Lonchura striata: one gene and its partner. The protein of the gene in region 2 purifies or fractionates together with the protein of the main gene of each other region. This does not show direct contact. Links are inferred from orthologs where the notes say so. Each region holds a gene or a part of one and is shown on either strand. Other genes may lie near its edges.

The links.
Region 1: the proteins of BRMS1L (region 2) and SAP30 purify together in Homo sapiens (affinity purification with mass spectrometry; 4 studies listed by BioGRID and IntAct, with this or other methods). This does not show direct contact. The link is inferred for Lonchura striata from reciprocal best matches to the Homo sapiens genes BRMS1L and SAP30.

What each region holds. Positions count from the first base shown.
Region 1 is NC_134606.1:36,157,227-36,168,934, forward strand, and holds the start of SAP30 (histone deacetylase complex subunit SAP30), read right to left. Parts: upstream 5,907-11,708; coding exon 5,601-5,906; intron 4,331-5,600; coding exon 4,208-4,330; intron 1,628-4,207; coding exon 1,529-1,627; intron 1-1,528. UniProt on the Homo sapiens protein: Involved in the functional recruitment of the Sin3-histone deacetylase complex (HDAC) to a specific subset of N-CoR corepressor complexes. Capable of transcription repression by N-CoR.
Region 2 is NC_134608.1:25,087,622-25,099,619, forward strand, and holds the start of BRMS1L (breast cancer metastasis-suppressor 1-like protein), read right to left. Parts: upstream 5,358-11,998; 5' UTR 5,254-5,357; coding exon 5,118-5,253; intron 689-5,117; coding exon 598-688; intron 1-597. UniProt on the Homo sapiens protein: Involved in the histone deacetylase (HDAC1)-dependent transcriptional repression activity. When overexpressed in lung cancer cell line that lacks p53/TP53 expression, inhibits cell growth.

The DNA of each region.
Region 1 (11,708 bases), on a different chromosome or scaffold from region 2:
CTATAACTGAATATTCAGCTCTTCAAAACAAAGCTATCATTGAAAATTCACCATGCTGTAACCATTGAAATATAACAGTCTGAATGCAGCTCTTGAATCACTTGTCATTTCAGCAGCCCTTCCCTTTCTTAAAATGAACACCAGCTTTAAAAGAAAGTAGCAAAATATTGCAACTGAATTTGTTCTCTGGCTTCTTGCCAGACTGGTAGACTAAAAGGATGAAGTGAAAAACATGGGACTGCTCACTTAAGCACCATAGGATCTAAGAATAAATGTTCAGCCTAACTAAAATTTAAGAAACTTTCTAAACTCTACCCCAAAAGCATTCACAGAGAAGCAGTCTGACACAGTAATGTGAACTTTCAGTAACAGCTAGAGCAGTGTCTACAGTATGCTAGGACGGATTACAAGGAATCAAATGTACTGTATATTAAGATAGCTCTGTGGCTATAGCTCACAAATACCTGCAGGTCAGTCAAATCAAGCATGTGGCAGAAGCAGCTTTGCCCATGCACACCAAGCAGAACTGTAATAACCTAGTGCAAGTAACATAGGACATGCACCTAAAGCAGTCCCTGCGAAACACCAGTTTTGCAGAACAAAAACTGCTCGTGCTTTTTCAATTCACAGACCTTCTAATTCAAGAGCTAACCTACGTATAAGCAAATGGAAGACTGATTTTACATTCTTTTACAGTTCAGCCTTGAGATCACCCATACCTTTAAGAGCCTTGTTTTCAATCCACACAGATCAAGAAAAGATGAAAACAAGTGTCTGCACTTAAATACAGCTGAATGTATCACTGCACAAAAGTGAAAAGTCAGTAGCTATACCTTCCTGTTAAGATCACCAGCTCTTCCACTTATTTACATCAATATGCTGTGACTGCACCTTTGCAGCACTAAAGAATTCCTTTAAGGCTGCACTCATGCAAAGCAAAGGTGCTAACATCCAGCTGCACTGACATGCAGCTTCAGCACTTTTGGAAACAGTAAATTCCATATAATTCCCGTTTTCTGACAGCAGATTCCAGTGGTTTTAACATAATTATCAATAGAAGCACTTTCTTCAGGTTTCTGTACTTTACACATACAGAAACCTATGTTTACAGTAACTAGGTGTTTAAAGCAAAGTCTGAACCTCACCAGAACTTCACTGACACCTCTCAGTTTCTAGTTCTTTTCAGTAGGACATTTCTGGTGAAGCTGTGATTGATCCACAGACAAAATAAATCCATGATTCTATGATATTCAGGGGCATGAAGATCATCTTACTGTTCCAGCTCAACACTGTTTAAAAGCAGCACACACTCGTTTTGGAAGTTAAGAGTCCCTCCTCTGGAAAGAGCTTTTACTTTTCATTTACTTGGCTCAGGAGCTGTGGCCAACGAAGGAAGCTAGATAAGCAGCTCCCTTTTGTTCTCCTAAAATCCAGATTATATAGGCACTTTATGCAAGGATCACAGTGTAAAGAAAACGACATGCCACAGCAAGTTGCATTTTCTATTATGGGAAACACTCATACATACTTCAACAAGCTGTGCTTTGTTAAGACCCGGTCTGGTCTGTAGCTTGAAGTGTCTTTTGTACCTTCGAAGTGTGTTTACTTGTAACTGATATAAATCAACCTAGAAGAAAAGAGGGGGAAGGGGAAGAAAACAATCTAATATAACTGAAAAAAATTCAGTCATTAATAGTTTGTCTCACAAAAACATTTTGGAAACTCACAGATATGCAAGTGTAAACAGTCAGCTCAGCAGATGTCATTTTGACAAAAAACAAACCTTCTAGCAGACAGGAAAATAGCCCAGCTCAGTTTAAAGAGTGTTTTGCTGTTACTGAGCATGCTTCTACCTCCCTTTAGCTGTGGACATTATTTTGAACTCACTATTGTACTTGCATCCATTCTGGATTTTTTGTTTGCTTCTCAGTTCCAGCATAACACCAAGCCAAATAGCAACTATCACATAACATCTATAAAGATGCTGATCCAAAGGAGGCCCCTATATTGTAATTTCAGCCATTACATCTTATGTAGATTACATACAAGACACCATGCACCATGAAAGAGCACATATTAGAATCAGGACAGAGTCTAGAGCACAAACATTCTTGATTTGAGGTGAGAAAAGAAAAGAACTGCTCTTGCTTTCCAAATGTATCCTTGCTACACAAGAATTATGCAGGAGTTATGTGCATGGGCATAAATGTCCAAAATTCTTTCTCAATGTCATTCACCTGTTGAGAGAATTACACAAAGTCCTCTCAGGGATACAAATACACAGCCTTAATCCAGTACTCCGTCAGTTTTGAATCCTATGTACTCTGATCAGCCACTTCTCCCAGCAACAGCTTACCCTTCCCATCCTCCCTGACAACCTAAGAGAGCTTAATCAGATGACTGAGTGGGAGAGCAAGCTCAGAAAGCAGGCTGAATGAGAAATTCTATTAGGTCAGTTGCAATTACAATAGTATTCTCCAAATTCGCTGCATTAAAGATTGATGAAGGCATTCACTTTTGCTTTATATTCATTTAACAGCCTCACTGCAGAACACTTAAAAACAGCAGTTGCTACTGCACACTTGGCAACCTGGCCAGACTCGAAGTGAGGCCACCTTGCATAATAAAGGATGGTATCCTTTGGTGTTTCTAAAGTTTACATGGCATTAAATTACACTTCCCAAGCCACAGTGGGGAAGCCACCCTTGCAGCATCATGGAGGAGCAGCAGCTTCTCAGCAAGCTCCAGAAACTACCAGGACTGCAGGAGTTTCTTTTCCTCCTGTAGGAATCGTTTCCAACCTAAAGAGAGCCACGACTGAGATGGAGCAGGAGAGCCTTACAACTCTTCAGAAGAATGATACTTTTTTCTTTAGCAAAATGGGTAACAATTGAAAATAAAGGTGGTCAAGAGCAAGCAAGTATCTAAGGCACACAGTAATTACAAGGAAAGAACAGACTGCCGTTGTCCAAACAGCCAGCTGACGCTTCTCAAAAACAGTTCCCAGTTTTCTCTTTTGTAATAATACTGTTTAAAAAAAAAGGCTTGTTTTCTTGTTCTGAAGATATCCATCAGTTGTGACATGTTTTATAATCCTGGCATAAGAAAACAAAACAGGCTCCCAGGAGAGCTGCAATTACACAGTGTCAGAAAGCTACCTGAAGTCACTCACAGCACTAGCTTTAGACAGAACTTTCCAAGAAACAATCACAGATATTTAACAGACAGACAACACCACTCAGCATCAAACTACTTTCAATCTCCTAAAATCCTCTTAGACAGAACATTCAGACTGGAGCCTCGTGCCTGAAGGCACAGATTCCTGCACAAACTTTACTCACTTACTTGCTGTTATCTGCAGATGCTGACCATAAGGATGCCATTACATTAACACTTACAGAGCGATTTCTGAAGAATGTTTTAACAATCCCTCTCAGAAAGAACCACGTAGGCATAATAAGCCTCTGCTCAAAATTAACACATTGTGGAGCACCTGCTAAGCAACGTTGTAGCAAAAATAACCTAGAGCATGTGTAAGAAAAAGAGAGCCTTATGTTCAAGACCGACCCATTACACTATGAGAAAGGTTGAACGCTTTAGTTAATGGGTCAGATTTCACTGGTGTGCAGTGGAGAAAACAGGTTTAAAAGACACCGTATTTCTCCACTCCTTCATAGCAGAGCTCTCCAAATGGTTCTTCCCCCCACAGTGGGCAGAAACAAAGCTACCATCATTAAACTCTCAGTCTTTAAAGTGACTAAGGCAATGGAGCAATTGCCTAGAACTACCTGCAACACATTTAGCACAAAAGGGACAGGACAGAGAAGCATTTATATCCTAAGCACTCTGTGCAACTCCCTTCAGCTTGTAAGCTTCAGCAAAAGGTAAGAGTTCGATGGCATGTGGCAAAACAGTAAGAAGGAGGAAAACAGTAGATTTCTCAGAGAAATCTTAAAACAGTAGATTTTTGAGAGAAGCATCAGACACTTAGAGACTCTTTCATTGTCCTATGCACCATTTAATCAGAAAACACACCACAAAAATTCAGTTAAATTCCGTTATATTAAAAACAGGGCAAATCAAGAATCTTCTCTTTCCTACACGTAAGGCAAAGCTGCAGAAGTGGAAGAGTGGTATTGGTGCAGACTCAGTGTCATTAAGAAGCTTAAGACAATAACTTGAAAAAAAAACCCAACTGTTCAGCTACCTCTGGAGCATCGATGTCTTGCACTGGTGAGTCACCATCATCATCGCTGCCTTTCCTCTTTCTTCTATTTCTCACACTCTGAATTAGATTTTTGTGGAAGTCACAAATGTACAGATGTCTTGCCTACAAGAATAAAACGGTATCTTTCAATTAAACCCACGTAGTGTATCTCCCAGACTGAAGTGCACGTAGACAGACAACCCTTAAGCACTCACAGCCACATTAACTGGGCTGAGGGAGCTTTTCCACTGGTTTATTGTAAATGGAGAGCGAGCTGCGCTGCGGCTCCCCGCCACCGGCTGGGCCCCGAGCTCGCTGAAATGCTGCAATGGGCCGATGCAGCAGTGCCAGGCTGTGGAGCCACGCAGCACAGCCCTCCCTCCTTCCCTCCCTCCGGCCGCGCATCGCACCGCGGGGGCCGGGCGGCACGCTAACAAAAAACAAGCTCGCAGCTTTCTCTGCGGGGCTAAGAGACGGCTCTCGTTTCCCCAGCTATATCCTCCCCTCCTTGTTTTACTTCCGCTACCCGGCACGGTCACGCAACACACTTATTTTTACTTTCTTTCTTTTTAACAAGTTTCCCACTCGTGGGGCTCTGCACGCTTTGGGAGATCCGGGCGCTGCCAGCCCGGAACGCCCCGGTCCGCGTGCTTTCAGGGCGAACGGGAGCGCGGGGCAGCGTGGGGCACCGGGCTGCAGCGTGGGGCACCGGGCCGGGTCTCTCGGGGCGCACGCAGCCCCGGCCCGGGGCGCTCCCGCCGGCAGCTCCACGCTGCAGCCCGTCTCGCCCTTCCGCGGCACCCGGCGAGGCGGGCGCTCTCCGGGCTCCCGGGCGAAGCACCGCGCTGGAAGGCGGCCGGCCCCGGCCCGGCCCGGCCCGGCCGCGCGGGGCCCGATGGCTGCCGAGCGGGAGATAAAGCGGCACCGGAGACGTGCGGCGCTGCAACACGAGGCGGGGCGGCGAGCGCGGCCCTCGCCAGCAACACAAACTAGCGCGCCGGGAGCCATGCAGGCTCCGCTCCGCTCCGGCGGGCAGCGGCGCTTCCCGGCCACGCTTACCCCCGGCTCCGGCTACAGGGGGGCACACGCAGTCGATGCCCAGGCTCTTGGGGTACAGGGGACCTCAGGAGCAGGCAGGAAAGGCGGGCGCTGCCCCCCGCCCGGAGGGACTTTCAGGCAGCGCTCCTGCCGCGCCAGCCCAACTCGGCCGTGCTACGGAAAAGAGGTGGGAAGGGGGAACGAACGCTTCCCCGCCGCCACGCTCCCCTCCTTCCCCACCAAACTTGAGGAAAAGTCCCCCAGCCAGCTAAGACACAGATGCGGCGACCTACCGGCCGCTTTTGTCCGCCCGCCCCGCCGGCAGCCCTGGCGCGTCCTCCCCTCGCGGACTTACGCTCTTGTCCAGCTCGATCTTCACCTTCTTCTGTGAAATGCTCTTCTGGATGCGCTTGCTGAAGCTGGCGTTGCCGGCGGCGCGGCCGCATCGCTCCCCCTCCTCCCGCAGGCAGCACAGCTGCCCGGCCCCGGGGCCGCCCGCGCACCCGCCGCCCGCCGAGCCCGCGGCGGCGGCGGCCGGACCCAGCCCCGGCGGCGCCGGCGGCGGCGGCACCTCCACGGCGGAGCCCGCAGCGCCCACCGCCGCCGCGGCGGCGGGGTCTGCCCCGCGCTGGGTCACCTCCTCGGGGGCGAAGCCGTTCATGCCCGGCGCCACCGCCGCCGCCGGCGGGATCCCGCCCCGCACCAAACTTCCCCGGCGAGGCGCCGCGGCCCGGCGGGGGGCTCCCCCGCTCCCTGCCCGCCTCCCTTCGGCGGCGGCACCGGGGCGCAAGTCCGCCCTCGAGGGCGGTCAGCCCACGCGTCGCGGGAAGGACTCTCCCTGCCAGCAGCCGCCAGCCGAGCACCGCGACTACCGGAGCAGCGGCGGCAGAGCCCCGCGGGCCGCCCCACTTCCTCCTTCCCCCCCTGTCATGTGGAGACTCTTCAGCTGTTTCCTATGTAACAACAGCAACCTGCCGCCCCGCCCCGCCCGCCCGCCGCGCATGCCGGCTGCCGCGCGCGGCCCCACGGGAAGCGCAGTTCCTGCCCGGCCGCCGCCGCACCGCGCGGCGGGAGCGCGGCCGAGGCAGCGGCGGGGGCAGCATTCGCTGCCGCAGCCGCTTCTTTTTCCCGCGCCGCGCTCCGCTGCCTTTTCATCCCGTCTGCAGGCTGGGCCCGCTGCAAAGCCCCGTGCGTCAGTCTCTCTTTTTCCCCCTTCCCGCGCCTCCCCGGCGGCTCCGCCGTGGGATGTGGAAGGGCGGCCGCGGAGAGTGTCACGGGTCGGAGCTGCCGCCGGCACGACTGAGCTCGTACCCGCGCTCCTACCGACGCGGGCCCGGTGGCCTCCGCCGCCGGCTCGCTGTGCCGCAGCGGCTCCCCCCGTTCACTTGCTCTCGCTCTAGTGTTCTAGCCGAAGCCGGCACTGCTCCGGCTGTTGGTTCCGGATTGTCTGTCTCGTGCCTTCCCTCTCGACATTTCTGCCCTGCCTCGCTTCCTACTTTCCGCCTACTGTCGGCTACGGCTGGCAGCGGCTCCCGGAGAGGGCGGGCGGGCTCTGTCCGAGCGCTCCTGCCCCTCCGCCTGCGGGAGGCAGCTCCCCGGGAGCCGCCGCGCAGCCGCTGGCTCTGCGGCTCTCAGCAGAAAACAAACGGAGCTCCGGCCTTTGTTAGGGCTGATCTTACAACACACGTAGTCAGGGCTCCGTCCTGCGTTCCTGTAGCAAAGCCTTTTGAAGACAAAGGCGACGTACAGTGCGAGTTTCTAGTTTTGTCATTTAAAAAGACATTTTGTTAGTAAAGGTGACTGTAGCAACAGGAAAGCCTTGAGAATGCAGAATTATTTTCGCTAATGATGAACCAAGACCTTGCTGTGCACACGGCTGGGTAAAATAGACACTCTGTGAATACTTGACAAAAGCAGGTATTTTTAGTTTTGAGGCTTTACAAAGCTACACAAGAGATGCGTTGGCATTAAATCATTTAACAATTCAGCTGTTGACAGCAGAGTGGCAAAAGCAGCAAGCTCTGATCTACTGTCTTTTCAAGCACATTCAAAGGAGGCACAAGGAAGGGAGAGGTTTTGCTTTCCCTTTGAACTACCGCAGATATTCCTTTAAATCTCAGAAACGGCATTTGAGCTGAGCGTGCTCAAAGCGCAATGATTTAATCACTGAAATATTTGACCGTATCGCTTGCTGTGCGTTTCCAGCTTGAAGGAGTAGCAGGGAGGCTGGTGAATAATTCAAGGAGACACAGATCCTGCGTAAGTCAAAGTTCTGCGTGAGCCGAGAACGCGATTATAGAGCAGTTTCAGTTTGTGCTGCAGATGGCTCCTTAATCTGATTGCGTAACCGGGTATTAGAGAATAAGGGCTGGTCCCACTGTCGCAACCGAATGAAGGATACAGAAACTGAAGCTACCCTGAGCACAGGCACAGCAGCTCTCCGAGGCACGTTTCGGTGATTAGCGAGGTTCGGAATAGGAGGAGAGTTGGAAAAAATACTGAACTCTGCTTTGTTATCAGCCAAGCTGAAGACTAGGTTTAATTCCATGCTCTGCTGCTGAACAATCTCAGGCAGCAAAGGTTTGACTCACTTTTTTAGTTTCTTGTGATTTCAAACTTTTGAAATCTGTAGTAATATTAAGATAAAAAAGAACAAAACCCCCAATATCATAGCAGAAGCTAAAATCTGGGAAAAGTGGGACAAAGGTGAGTTCCAGGAATTCTTCAGTGAAAATCTGGGTCATGAATAGCAATTTCTAGACTCTTGGACTATGTCTTCTGAGGTCCCTTTTTATTTATTTATTTATTTGTTTGTTTTTAAAATTTCAGATGGATTTGACCTTACTATGAGCATAAAATATTATGACTGGCTCTGGCTGCTGTTGTTTGGTTTGATGGAAAGATCACGTGTGCATTTTAAATGTTTCTGATCCTCTTTGAGCAGTTAAAAGCCTGACTATGTTACCCAGACGTGCTTGCCAAGATGCTAATTTATAAGCGTAATTTCGAGTAAAGTAGTACCATAGTTTCATGATTAGGTCATGATAAGAGAGTCGTGGGACTTAGAAAGATGGTTCTGTTTCTGCTGTAAGCTGCTCGTTTTCGCACCTGTGCCCTGTGCCTCTTTGTGCCCATAAAAATATTGCTGTGGCTGCACAGCAAACTGTATTGGGTTACAACTAAGCTAGCAACAAGAAAAATTGTTTAGATTTAATCCTGACCTGTTTTACCACTCAGTTGCAAGATGCCCCAGCACCCGGGATGGTGCAGTAGAAGGGCAGCACTCTGACAGGGGATGACCACCTCATTTGGTATGAACGCCTGCTTACAGTAACAAAGAAATCATGTCACTTTTAATCTTGCATCACACGTGGGATGAAAAATACAAAGAACTGCAGCTACATGGGTTTATCAGAAAGTATGAAGCTTACTACAAAACAGATTTACAAACTTTCATGAAGCTTGGGATACATTAAATAAAAAGCAAAATCATTGTGGAGTATGTTGTCTAAAATTTAAGTTTTTTAATACAAACTCTAGTACTGGGTACTAAATAAAGCATGTATGGGGACATATTTTAAATAAGCATAAAAACATGCAGGATTGCAACCATATACTGATTAAACTTCAAAAATTAAAACAGTTCAAAGGAAACAGCAGCTCCAAACCAACTGCCCTGTACATGATGTGTCACTAGTACTTGCAGCAGAGCTGAGTAGTACAGAAGGTAGCAGTAATCTATATCCCTTGGGCCTACCAAGAACACAGCATGGATGACTTGTGACATGCAGAAAGAACAGGAGCTACAGCATCCCAAAAAGTCTGAATTCACAGCTCCCAGGCTCTGAAGTCAGCAGGACTCAGTGGCCCCTCCTGGCACTGAGGCAGGCCAAGCACATCTTTCTAAGTGGTGGAAGCCCAGCAGCTTGTTCTTCTCTGAGATGCCATATGTCCCAGCTCCTGTTAGCTTTTGACTGATGTGTTTTGTAATTTGAGAGAGAAGAATGATAATCAGATACATCACCTTGGATATATTGAAAGCACATTGCAAATTACTAGTAATTGCATTACTAGTAATCAATCCTGGAAGATAAATGTTGCTCTTGCCACTTTGTATGCATTTCCATGGCATAAAGTTCAGCTGGGGAGGATGATTCTCTTCCCCAGCAGGTACCTTTCACTTGAAGTCCAAGAGTACATTAGTGCACTTGTGTTCAGCACCTGAAATTATCCTCTTAGCAAAAGGAATAATAAGGAAAACTATTGGTAGGCATTTTTTCTCAGCAAATACACATTTTATTTGTTATATATTGTAACTACTTCAGTGAAAAAAAATTCTTTTAAAACATTTGAAAAATTCTGCAAATTCCACCACTCACTCTGGTCATTTTAATAAAAAAGCAACCTAATCTATAAGCAAGCATTCATGGGCTGTGATATAAAGAACAGTGGCCAAATCTTCCTTACCAGAAATAAGTGCTATTAATTTTATCTTTCCTTTTACTTTTTTCTGATTTTTTTAATACCTCATTTTCCTTTCCCACTCCAGCACCACCTAACCTCCTACTGCTTGTTGCTCTGCTTCCAATTTATTGTCCAAATTTGTTAAAGCATAGACCCAAAGCTTAGGAATATTGGAACTTGCCTACAGTTTTTTTTTTTTTTTTTACTTTATATGTTTTAGGCTAGGATAGTTAAAATACAAATTCAGATAATTAATTTTATAACAAAACCTAATCTGTTTTAGTAATACACATAGACCTTATTTTATATGGTTCAAGAAGTGCAGTAATAAAAAAAAAAAAAAATCATAACTTTAACCAGAATTATCTCCAGGTCTGAACTGAGTTGAAGCCAGTCTTTCTTTTATAAGCATTTGGCCTTGTACACTGAAAACTCAAGCTGTATAAAAGAATATATATAACAAAGGCTTTTATTAAAAGATTTTAAGCAGTAAAGAAGGTCCAAAACTACACATTTTAAGAATAATTTAGGATTTAAAGTGAAAAACCAATGTACTGTAAAAGATTTAAAGTTTTGTAACACACTCCCTTTAATGGTTTGTGCAACTTCTCTTTCATAATAAGCCATTAGTTACAGGAAGCATGAGATTATCTTCTGGTAGAAGGCATCATTCTTATGTGCAAAAAATATGTTATATTCTTTGTTAAATGTACTTGACAAATTGTTTGTTGGTGGGCCTAAGCAATGAAGGATGAGTTAGGGGAGGGAGCTCAAACACAATGACCACCCAAAAGCAGAGGAGCCAACCTCCAGCTTTGCTTTAGGTACTCCTCAGTTTCAACACCCCCTCCCCACCCCCCAGAAGTCTCCACTCAACCCAAGTGCACCTCTATCTCTGCTTGTTTCACAGCCACTGATCTCTTGTTCATCCAGGTTGCTTTGATTAACATTTTGTTTCACATTATATTAGATCGCACAGAGACTCCATTAAATCCTCACTCATGCTCTTCAGAAATACAAAGCAGCTCTCTGAAACATAATGAGGAAGAGTATCACCCCCAGAGGTTTTGTGTAATGCAATAAAAATTTAACTACTAGTAATAGACCAATGTGGTATATTGCTTACAAGTTATTTTTCAGTCCCTTGAAATGAAATAAAAAACCTGCTCAGATTTTTTTTCCCTGTAAGATAAACTGTCATATCTTTTCAGCAAATTTTGCTGGTCTCTAATGCACTCTTGATACCACAAAAAGCACTCTACATACTGTCATCTGTGCTACAGTCTTGCATTTTGTGAGCTATTGTTTTGTTGTTATATAAATTCAGATTTGACAATGGTTTTAACCTCTTGTTTTGTACAACACATACTACACCATCTTCAGATTTCAGGTTTTGTCAGAGGTTTTTTCAGGTTTTGTCAGAGGATCCTAGAACCTACAGGGCTCTGTTACACCATCATGTCCTCTTCTGGTACACATTTGTTTCACAGAAAGGAAAATAGGAAAGTTCTGTAGCCCTAAGAGCCTCTTAGAGTGAGTGCCCTTGTCCTTGCAGTTCAATTATAACCATCTCTAGGTCTGACTTCGCTCTAGGTGAAGTTAACAGCAAGTTTTAAATGCCTCTTGGGAGCAAATGAACACTTCTTCCACCAAACCATCAGTTAGATACTTGGATTCCCTCAGTAAAAACAATATAGTCTGATACTAATGCAGACACTTTCATAAAAATAAAATCAATAAAATTACACATGCATTTGGGGTTTAAATGCTTTCCTGACCTCCTGCAGAGCTCCTGCATAAAAGATACAGATAGGCTTATATGCCAGCAAGCTCAACCTCCCCTGTTACTGTAAAGTTCTTTAGCAGTATAGAGTAGGGCATGCAATGGGGTGCTGTAAGGAAATGATACATTTATATCACCAACTGCTGGAAAATCCCATGGGAACCATGACTAAAAATGAGACTCATGATTCAATCAACAATTTGAAAACTTCATGAG
Region 2 (11,998 bases):
TTGAATAACTGTGGCTATTAAGCTTATCTCTTCTTTTAAGTAGGTTTTTACTAGCTACTTATGTAGGTATTATGGCAGACAGAGATAACAGTATTTTAATTTTCTCATGTACTGGTACCTGGTTTGCAGCAATCAAAAGAAACTTTCATTGGTACCAACTATATAAACTGCTGCAGTAAAAAAAAAAAAAAAACAATCTAATTCCTTACTTAGCAAAGACAATGTACTTCAGTCTGTCCCACATATATAAAAGTATGAGAATTATACAGAATGAATAAGTAATTAAACAAAATCTCAAATTTCCCTAAAATCCCAATTCCTTCGTTCTACTAGGGAGTTTCATGCAACAGACCCAGACTAGCTCTTCACAGGAACAACATTTCAAACCATCCTTACAGTAAAACAAAAAATACATGAATACACAGAAGCATTCTAGAGCATCTGCCCGCAAGTAATTTCAGAATTTCCAGTCCTTACTCTTCTCCAAAAGCAGCATCCACATGCTACTTTTGGAGAAAGACAAGAAACACCAGATGCATACAGTATTTTCATGGAATGGATCCTCAAACGAGGCACTCAAAACATTAAAATACTTACTGATCTTTAAGGTCTGTAAATTGTTTTTCAAGATTGGACATTTCATCTAAACATTCCATTCTTCTTCTTTCACAGTCTTCATCATCCATTTCTAAGAATAATTAAAAAAAATTATGTAATATAAACCAAATAAACTGGATATTTTGTTTCTAGTGAATGAAGGGGCAGGGTGCCTGAATTATAGCCATGAACAGTTTTCCTCTTATATTATTGTCATAAAGCATAATATGAGAAATCACTTGGCATATAAACTACAAAGAAAGAAACCTAGACCTAATTCCAGAATGAATGCAATAAACAGCAATTCTTCTTCCTCAAAACAGGAAATAACAGCACTGTAAGACCTCAAGAGGGTAATTTCATGACTGAAATACAAAGAATACATAAGAATGCATGAAACAGAAAAACTAAACTATGTATATCACACCAAATTAAAGACAACATTAAGCATGAGCAGTTATAAGCCACCACTGAAAATTCAAGTGTATCTTGGGTCAGTACAAACAAAAGCAATCCCTGGAATGCAAGCACAGTCCAGTGTTACATTTGTCTGATAAAATTCAAGATTTGTTTTATTCATATTCCTAAAAGGAAAAGTAACATATAATTTTGAAACAAGTTTCAACCTGTCCAAATTGAAGACTTATTTGAAGTTGAAATATTAATGTAAAAATATCTGCAGTTCATTTTAATGAGCATTTGAAATCACTCCAATGAAACATTTCTTAACCTGAGAAGTCTAGAACACTGCACTTGACTTTATATGCTTTTATGCAGTAAGAGCAGTTTGTGTAAACTCTTTTCACAGATTTATTTATATTCCTGATTCTTTTTCGTGGACCTAGGGAAGATAAAACAACATAAACACAAAATTTTTTGCCAAATCTTTGACACTGCCATTGAGACATCCAATGTTACTAAACGTCCGTTGTTACCTCCATTGGCCTTCCTTAGACTAGAAAACTGAGAAACTAAGATAGAAAATTCTTGACTTTCCCAGCCTTCCCAGAAAAAAAAAAAAAGAAAAAAGGTTTTGTTAAGGCATATTCCAAAGTCAGATAAGTGAAACTGCTTTATAACAGCAGTATCTGCAAGAATTAGCCCTCTACAGTTACACTACAGCTGACCACTATCAACCAGTAGCAGGCATGCAGAAGGGATGGCCATGCACTCAGGAGCTGTAACTGAACTAGCCAGATGCTTGAGAGAAGGCACTGTCCTAAGGAACCCTTACTTATGTAAGCACTTTGGCAAGAAAAATCCTACCTCCTGACAGAGAGGAAAAGTAGGATCCTGAACCCAGCAGGGATCATTTTTTTAGCCTATAAACAACTCTGAGCTTTTTGTTTCTGCCTCATTTTTCCAACGAACATGTTCAACTGCTTTATGCTGTCTCCTACACCAACTACAGAATGCAGCATTCTTTATTCTTATTGTTTTGCAAACCAGTATGGCAATTTGTAAAGCTGATGAGGTGAAAGGAGTAGCTTCAGGCCCACTTGCTACTTGGAAAGATCTGATTAAATCAGATTGTCTACTCAGACCTCTCAGCACTCAACTTCTTCCTGAAATCATCACAAGCTTTTAAGACTAAAAAACTATACTAACCTTCGCTGCCTGGACAGGAAAACCAGCAGTCAGCACAGCAATACCAATAAGTATTACAATGGCAAACTATGAGTCCCAATTAAAGACCTAGTACTGTTATTACAGTCAAAAAGGAAGTTTTAAAACACAATATAACCTGAAGTATTTGAAAGCAGAGCAAGAAAATTTGAGACAGAGCTTAAAAAAATGCAATGAATGGGGAGAGTGGGAGAAGAACAATCAGGCCATTAAGAGATACTATTTATATTAAAATATTGTTCTCAAAAGTAAGGCAAAACCGTAATCCCAGAATAAGGCTGAAAATCACATGAAAGAACAAAGTTTTATGTGACTGTTTGACACAATATCCACAACAAAATCAATGTAGTGATTTATAATTTGGGCAGATTTAAAGAATGTGGCAATCGTATTATCCAGAGTTGCCCAAAGCATTTCTGTGCTACAAAAATGAAGCCTCTTTAAAATGTGAAGGCACTTCCCAGTGAAACTAAACAGGAACAAGCACTGGCATACCAACAGTTTTTCCCCTTTATTCTCAAATATGTTTCAAATGTGTTCTTCTATGTTTTTAATTCTAAGTATGTTTTAGTAAGTTCACTCAAAAGCTCTTCTTAAATTAACACGGATGTTATTGTTTGTGTATGTTTAGAGAGTAAAAAGCAAAGAAAACTAGAACTGTAATCCTGGATGAGGATCAGAGCACACCCACTGTTGGAGGGGAAAGGGACTGCATCTTAAATTTTTAACTTGTGTTGCAAGGAAATTGATATTCACTGGTATCTGAGGGTATAGCTGACTTCCTTGTAGATAAAAAAAACCACAGCTACCTCCAATCTCCTCTCAGCTACAAATACTTTGACTTTCTGCCTAGAAGTCTTCAATTCTCCCTTATCATTCATACTAAATGGTAATTCACATGCCAAGTTGCTTTTCAATGTTATCATCTGTATTCTTCCTTCAATAAGATTCATAAAATGGTGAAGATTTTCAGAGTCCTGAAATATATTTAATTCCCCATTTATGGAATTTCTTCCTCATGGTCTTAAACAACACACAAACTATGGAATATGAATTACTGAAAACATAAAATGTTGTAAAATCAAATCTCATGGCTTTCCAATTGAAAATTTACATCACAGGAGATGGAGGATTGCTCATTCCATATTAAAACAGTTGCTAATAGGCCTGACCTGTCTCAAAACTTCAGATTTACCATACAGTTTCATACTGCAAAAAGTATTTAGGGCATTTAAAAACACTTTCAAAATCCCAGTTGTTTTCTCCTACTATACTCAAGCAGTCTAACACAGCAATTAGGGCAACACGGTTTAAAGATAAAAAAATCCACACAGCACTTAAAATGTAACAGCTTTTTTTAATAAGATGTGGCCTATATAAAGTGCTTAAAAAATGGCCAAATTCTCCTCTGGGATAGCAAGCATAACTTGTGGCTTTTTAAATTCATCCCGTATCAACTATTCCATATTCAAGTCAATAAAACACCTGTACTAAATACATAACATCAAAACTAACAATATAGAAAGAGTGACAGCTCTCAAGGACGGTCATGCTTCCTCTAACAGCACCTTTTGTGCAAGTAAAGCAAATTACAAATTTGACAAAAAATTAATTACTAATTTCAATTGAGACTTATTTCTTGGGGTGCTAATCATTTTAAGTCTGTAGGAATAAAAAGCTTACAAGGAGTATGTTGATATTAGTCAAGACACTGAGACAACCATGTAATTTTTTGTCATCATCAAACTTTAAGTACTCCCTTAAGAGCAAGTCTCTGTGGAATGCAACAAAAATTATCTGGAGAGCTTCTGGTGTTGTTCTAAAGAAAAATGAACAGACTACATCCACTTAAAACACACTTACTTCTTCCTAATCCCAGACTCTCAGGCACACAGTGTGATTCTTGGGGTGTTCTGTGCAGAGTCAGGAGTTGGTCTTAATGATCTTTCTGGGTCCCTTCCAACTCAGCATATTCTATGGTTTTAATCTGATGATATAGGGGCCTCAGCACTAAATCACTTAAGCTGCCAGAACCACATGTCAGGACTAGGACTGGCCCAAGTCCACATCGACATCAGGACTTTTCTCAATTCACTAACCCTGTCCAACTTCTTTTCCATCCACTGTCTTGTATGTCATCACTAATCCTACCAGTTATCACCTGGAAACATGTTTTAAGATCAAACACAGAAAGTAGTAATTAGAAGGAAACTTAGAACAGCTAATAATAACCTTCTTAATAACAAGTGTAAATGAAACATAGAAAAAGTGATCCATTTAAAGCTAGATTTCAGCTACTAACGTAATTCAAAATCTACAGTCCAGATGGAAAGTATGGAAATAAGAAGGGAAGCTCAACTGAGCAGAGGCTGAAGTGCTCTGCAAAAGAGGGCAGTGGTATTAACAGGCTTCCAATATCCCCCCCAAAGACAGTTCTTAAAACACCTAGTTGAACTTCGTGAGCTTGCATGGAAATACGTACTTACACACGTGTTCATGCATGCACACGTATGTATATAAGCCCTTAAGTGGAGACCTCAGCGAGGACGCACTCAAGGCCAACAGGGCACAACCCACGCTCCTCCAGCGAGCGGAGGAGCGCGGCCCAGGCCGCCATGGCCGCGTACCCGCCCGCTCCGGAGCCGGGGCTCGGGGCGCAGCGGGGCCCGCTGCCCGTGCGCCCCGCCCCGCTCCTGCGCCCTGGCCGGCCGCCCGGAGAAGAGCCGCTGAAGCAGAGGCTGGGCCGGGGCGGGGTCACGGGGGGAGGGGAAGGAGGGGGCACACCGACAGCAGCAGAGCCGGGCGGAACCGGTGTGTCCCCGGGGCGGCACCGAGCGCTGAGGAGCCGCCGCGGCGCCTTCTCAGCGGCGCTGCCTTGCGGGCGGCTGCGCTACCTGAGCTGTCCCCCTCCTCGGAGACGGACGAGCTCTCGGTCTCCTCCTCCTCAGAGCTGCTGCCCTCGTTCTCTCCGTAGTCCACCTCCATCTCATCGTGATTATTCTCCTTCTTCTCCCGGGAATGCACCGGCATCGTCCCCGCCGCTGCTGTGGAACCCCAAGCCCGCCCTTCCCGCCGCCGCTCCGCCGCTGCCACCGGCCGCTCCGCCCCGCCCGGTGCCTGCGCGCCCGCCCATTGGCCAAGTCCCGCCGCCGTCTGGCGTCACCACGCGCGCGGCGTTCTGGGAATTGTGGTCCGCCCTGAGAGGGCCGGAAGGGCGCTGTGCGGGGCCGGGTGCGTAGCGGCGGCTTTTCGCGCCCCTCTCCTGTCCCGGGACACGCACGGGACTGCTCGGTGCCGAGAGAGGCTTCATCGCGGCCAGGCAGAGTCTCGTACCTGCCCGCGTCTCCCGCAGGACGCCGAGCGAGGCCGTGGCCCTGTGTGGTGGGGGTTCGATCGTGGCCGTTCCCTGCCTCACGTGTGGCCCCACCACTCTCCTGCCGAGGAGTTCTGCATGCTGGCAAGATGTCCCTTATGACTCGGATCTCAGAGGGGAGAGGTCCTTGTGTTATTGAGGGGAAATTCTTTACTGTGAAAGTGGTGAGGAAAAGGTTGCCCAGAGAAGCTGTGGATACCCCATCCCTGGAGGTGTTCCAGGAGCTTTTGGAACAAGATGATCTTTAAGGTGCCTTCCAATTCAAGCCATTTTATGATTCTATGAATAGTGGCCTCCTCAGCAGAACTTGCTACTTCCCCAGTGTCTTATGTTGTCCTGTACGTGTGATATGCTTTAAAGTCAGACTTAACTGGAAGTGGCAGCGGTCCACTGGAGTGGATATGAGAACTGACTAAAGAGACAATCTGCAATCTGTGCAGGTTTGGGATAATTTTTTTGGCTTTGAGTATCAGTACTTATCTGTTCATTGACCAATTGCTGTTAATTGCGGTACATAAGATGTACTGAATAGAAGTGACACTTTCTGGAAAAAGCTGTCTGAACTGTCCTGTTGCTGTGAGGGACTGATTAGCTTCACCTCAGGACCTTGGCACAAGGGAGTCCGGCAGGGATCCTCAAGAGTCCTGAAATACAGAGCTGGTTGTGGCCTGCAGGGCATGTGGGTGATAGCTTTGGGCCGAAGGTGAGCTCACTTGTACTGCACAGGCTCACTCTTGATATCTGGGCCAGCTGAAAGAGCAGTAGAAAAGCACAGTGTGTCTCAGTGATGTGATGTGCCACTTCAAAGGAGTTAAAAGTTGTGTGTGCCTGGCAGGTGCAGTTCTTCATGTTGAAGTCCAAATTTAGTTCCTCTCAGCTGTCTGGATGGATATTATGGAGGCTATATTGTGAGGCAGTTAACTTCTGTGTTTCCCTATGGATTTCCACCTCCACAGCAATAGCTGCCCACCTCAACCACAATAACCACTGCTGTACATTACTCACTTCTTTTCTCCCACATCTCTGTATATCCAATGCAAGTAATTTCCCTGTATCTCCCCAAAGAGGAGTGTATGTAGGTGTGCCACCTCTTCTCCAAGAGCAGTGAGAGAAAAATTAGGCATAACTAACCTCCCACCCTTCGGTGTGCAAACTCCATCCCTTCTCTTCTTGCTGTCTCTGGCTTTTTAATCACAAATGGACGCAGCACCACTTGGCATCCTTTCTCCATACCCATTACGATTTTCATCTTTTCTTTATAGATTCATAGAATGGTTTCAGATGGAAACAGCTTCTCTGGATAAGCCACTCCAGTTCCCCATCACCTTCACAGTAAAGAATGTCTTCCTAACATCTAATACAAACCTACGACTTGTAAAATAACTGTAGCCCGCGTGGGAATCCTGAGTGCTTTCCTAGATCCGCCGCCATCCCTTCCTCCCGCCTGCCAACCTCGCTGCGCTCCGGGCTCCCGGCACCGCCGGCCGTGCGGGGCGGGGCGAGCTCCGGCCGGCCGGACCTCGGCATAAGGGGCCGGGCTGGCCTGGCCCAGCGTTTTTAAACGTGGCTCTGGCTGTTTAACGGAGCAACAGCAGCTGAACTTTTGTCCCCAGGTTTTTGCCAGGAAACTTGTGAGTCCCCGAAGCCTGGCCAAGTGCAGGTTCACATAGCTTTAAAAACCGACCAAAGTAGTTACCAAGGTACTTTTTTTTTTTTTTTCTCCAATCTGGTATTCTTTTGAGGGAGCCTGGTTAAAGTGTTAAACTGGTAGTCAAATGGCTGAAAGGAGCTAGGAGATGGCCTGGAACAACATCAGGAGACATTCCAGAAGAAAACCTAGAAATTTCATCAGTTGGATCTGAATTTTCTTTCAAGATATCCATAGGGATTCAGAAAGGGAAAAAAAAAAAATCACAAAAAAACCCACAAAACACAAAACCAGAAGTAAAAATGTCTAACAATCCCCAATTCAAGTGTTTCCTTTTGGATTAGGAAGATAAAAAGACTAGAAATCAAAGGTTCTGGACTAGGAAAAAAAAAAACAAAAACAAAAACAAAAACAAAACAAAACTACTGGAAATAGTTGCAGGGAAAGGAATGGCAGGAAAACAGGAAACCTTTGGCTTGATTGTTATTTCCTATTCAAACAGTTGGAACAAAGTCTAAAGGAGCTAAAAATAAACCCCAGAAGGAAATCAAAATTTTCATGCCCTGGTTGAAATAAGCAACCAAGATAAGGAGTTAAGACAGAAACTTTTTTTTAACAACACACAACTCCACATGGTTCTATTCTGTTTATAGCCAGGAGAGGGGGGGATTACCCAGCTAAAGCAATCTGTTGTGTGGAGGAAAAAAAAAAAGTACTGGTTGAAGTTAACTTGTCTGTCCAAATGAAGTGCTAGAAAACATAAGAGCAAAGGGTACTTCTGGGCACTACATATGGGCACAAGGCTTATGACAGCTTACAGTTTATTTCCAGACTATAAAGCTAATTTATCAGATCACTTATAAGCCCTTAACATATAAAGTGACAGCACCTATCTTAATCAGATCTCTAGAGGCAAATGCTAGAAGAGGTGGGGAAAGATGAAATTCTACGTGGTCTGTTAGAGGACTTGCAAAGATTTTTGTTTAGTGTGTATAAATACATTTATGAATCCAGCCAACTACCAGAGCACCAGTCTCTGGAATGACCATTTCATCAATATAAGCAAATGCAAGTGTTATGTGTCTATAAAGGTGTGATTTTTTTTTTTTTCTGGATCATGACTTATGCCCTTCATTAGAGTAAAATAACTATTAAGAAGGTGATTGTCATAATCCTCATCTGCTCAGATCTGCATTTAATGGAGAGGTGGGTATTAACAGTTTGGGGGTGGGGGGGCGCGGTTTGTGGTATTTTCCAAAAATCAGAAAGATACCATTAACAGGGATAACTGGCAACCATATAAAAATTAAATCTGGAAAACTAGCATTGAAAAAAATTGGATGCAATAACAATTACTATAAATAAAATGTTGGCTAGTACAGATGTTGGTATCTCCTTTCCCAGTTTTAGACACCTTTAGAAAAAGCTAGGGAGGAAAGCTGTAATTTTACACCTAATTTATGGAATGGAGGCGGTGAGTATGTATCACTTTAGACTCTGAAATGCAGATCCTGACTTTCTGATTATAAACCTGATTGCCAGCTTTTGTTGTAGTGAGTAGTTGCATAGTAACTAAGTATTTCTGACAAGAAGGAGATTGTAAAGGGAGAAACCAGAAATATATATATATAATGTGAGTCATTAGGATACTGGTATAGATGAAACCTTGAAGGAGAAGCAGGGATGAAAGAAATTTTACCATGTGTGCAATATAGTGCACTATATCTTAATGAGTTGAAAATAACTTCTCATTTGGAGTCTCTCCCATCTCAAAGATGTAGCATTTTGGACTGGTAGTCTTGGACTGGTCATCAATCACAAGTCTGGATGTTGGGGTGAGGTCCTCCAAAGGTGCCAAAGAGCAACCTATTAGCCAAAAAGAAGTGGTTGCCCTGGGGTCTCTAGATTCTAGCAAACAAAATTATTTCACTTTCTATCACTAAAAAAATATACTCTGGATACTTTATTAAATCTAATTCTTCACCCTCAATTTGAAAGTGCAATATTAGGAGGTAGGTCACAAGAGCTCTGAAAAGACTATTTGCATGCAAGTCAAGATCAGCAGCAATTTAAAGCAGCAGTCATGGAGTACCAGTTATGAGCTGTGTTTGAAGGCTATTGGATGAAGTTCATTCCTCTGATCATGGGGGTTTTTTAAGCAAAATACTTTGATACATGCTGCAAAAGGTGTAAAGTTTTACCAATCAAAATAAATGCAAAGAGATATGACCTATTTCCAAAATATCCATTTTCCTCCTGTGGGTGACATAACAGGAGAGATTGGGGCAAAATGTTTCCTTTGATAGAACAGAATTCTGTACAAAATTCTCTCTCCCCTAGGGGCTGGCAGACATGCACAGGGTTTCTTTTGTGCATTTGTCAATATTGCAAAGCTATTTCAGAAGTTGGGAAAGAAAAATAAAACATCTTGGTGGTTGCGTGTTACTTTTGGTTAAAAGAAAAGTTGTTGCAACTTCCACTGTATCAGAGTATTCACATTTCAAAAGCTCTTTCCTATCAGATATGGGTGCTAGTGCTTACATTAGAACTCAAACATTGTGATTTGGAGGTGACTTTTAAATAACTTCCACGTGTATGAAAGTTTCTGGTTGTGACAGGACCTTTACACTTTCTGTTCTTTGAACATGGCTGACACAATCCTAGCATGCTAAGGAAACAAAACTTAGGTAATGGTTGTCTGTTGGTTTTGGTGGTTTATTTGGTTGGTATGAGGTTTGTTGATTTTTTTTTTTTTTTCAATTGCACTCTCCCTGCTACTTTTGAAGCCATTGTCTGATTTTGATCTTATATTACATGAGAGCATGAGTATTAAAGATACCAAGTTTCTTCATGTCCTGCGAAACAGCATTTGGAACAAAACCTAGTAATGTCCCAGAGAGGGATATGTGTTCACTTAGCTTTTGTCCAAGGGACAGTGTCTTGTTTTGCAAAGACAGTTGTCTGCTAAGGAAGGCAGGAGCCTCTCTTGGAATGGAAAATGTAAACCCCCTCCCTCCAAATTAGAATTGTGAAGTTAAGGGACTCTCAGGCAAAGATATAGGAATAGGAATAACAGTTCTTTACTAGGAAAATTAAAATAATAATGCAGTAATACAAAAAAAAACCCAAAAAAAAACCACACCACTGACAGAGTCAGAATACAACCTGACACCCTATTGATCAGGGTGCTGGCAGCAGTCTCATTAAATGGTGGCTGCAGTCCTCCTGGAGTGACAGACATGGTTCTGTTGAAGCAGTGGTCCTGTAGAAGGCATAGTTTACCTCTGAAGGTCCAGTGCTGGTGTAGATGGGCCTGGTCTTCCTCTGGGAATCTGATGGAAAAAAGTCCTCCTGGTGTTCCAAATCTCAGATTTTTATCTAGGTAGGAATGTTTGGCTTCTCCCCCTGGGCAGAGCTTCTCACAATGGGATGATGTAATTTCATCAGTCATGCCTGAGACTCAATGGCCCTTTGACAGAAGGTCTCTCCCTGGACTGAGGATGGGATAAACTACACATATAGTTTAAGACTTAACTGAAGTCCAGCCTCTTGCTCATCCTGAACAGGTAGGGGAGGACTAAACAAAGAAAGGGTTATGGTTGTGAAGGGAGGTAAGTCATGGCTTTCAGTGGCTAGAATACAAATTTGGAGGAAATCTGGCTTCATGAGTTCTGTAGTTCTTGGAAAAATTTATTCAAACTTGTGATCTTCAGTGCTTGGAAAGACTGCAGTGTTATGTCTTTGTATAACACAGAGGTATTAATGCTGATACACTGCTAACGACATAAAAGCAGAGTATAAACTCTGAAAAGCTCCTTCCCTTAAACACAGAAGTACATAAATTCCAGATTTTATCTGTGAGATACAGAGTTCTGCAAATGCAGTGGGAAATCATGGGAACCATCATCTTAATAGTAAGAGGATTTTGTTGAAGGGATAGCTAGCTGTTCCATTATTATTACACTAGAAAAATACTAGAGGATCCTGATATTTGACTGCTTAGGTGAAAGTAGCAAAATCTCTAATATCAATATGTTACACTAGTATTAAATTGTACAGAGCTGTGGTTTTGGCTACTCAAATTTAAATATCTAGTTTTGGGGGCCTTTTTCATAAAGTAAATTAAATAAAAATTTATTATGTACAATGAACAGGAATACTGCTGCACGGACAAAGCCACATACTCATAGGTCCACAGCACAATTTAAAGAGCCTTCTTTCTCAAAAGCAAGACAACCCTCATAGGAAGGACACTGTGAATCTAAATATGAAAAGATCAGAAGCAGTGACACCTTTAAAAAAATCTTTTAAATTTATTCTTCTCTTGAAGGACCATGTGGGCAAATAGCTCTTCAGTGCATACACCTCAAAGGTTTAAGATCTATACTAGTAACCCAAAAGATGGGAAATACTAACAATCTGAGTAATTTTAACTCACTTTTAATCACATACCCTTAACATAAATATTAGTAAGGCAAGAATTCCAGAAACTTAGATATCTGTAGGTGTATCCAAGAATTCAAAACATAATATATCCATTTGTCATGTTGAACTGTTGAATTAGGCCACACCTGAAGGGTGTTTGCTCTCTAGGATACATTAAAAAATACCTGTGTGTTTTCTGAAGTATTTGGCAACAGCTGAAATCTTAGGAAATCATAAATCCTAGATAGACTGGGAGAAGTTTTTTGATGGTATGAATGTGATCCAATTGCCCCCTACAACTTTAAGTGTCCTATGGGGCCCTGTAGAGA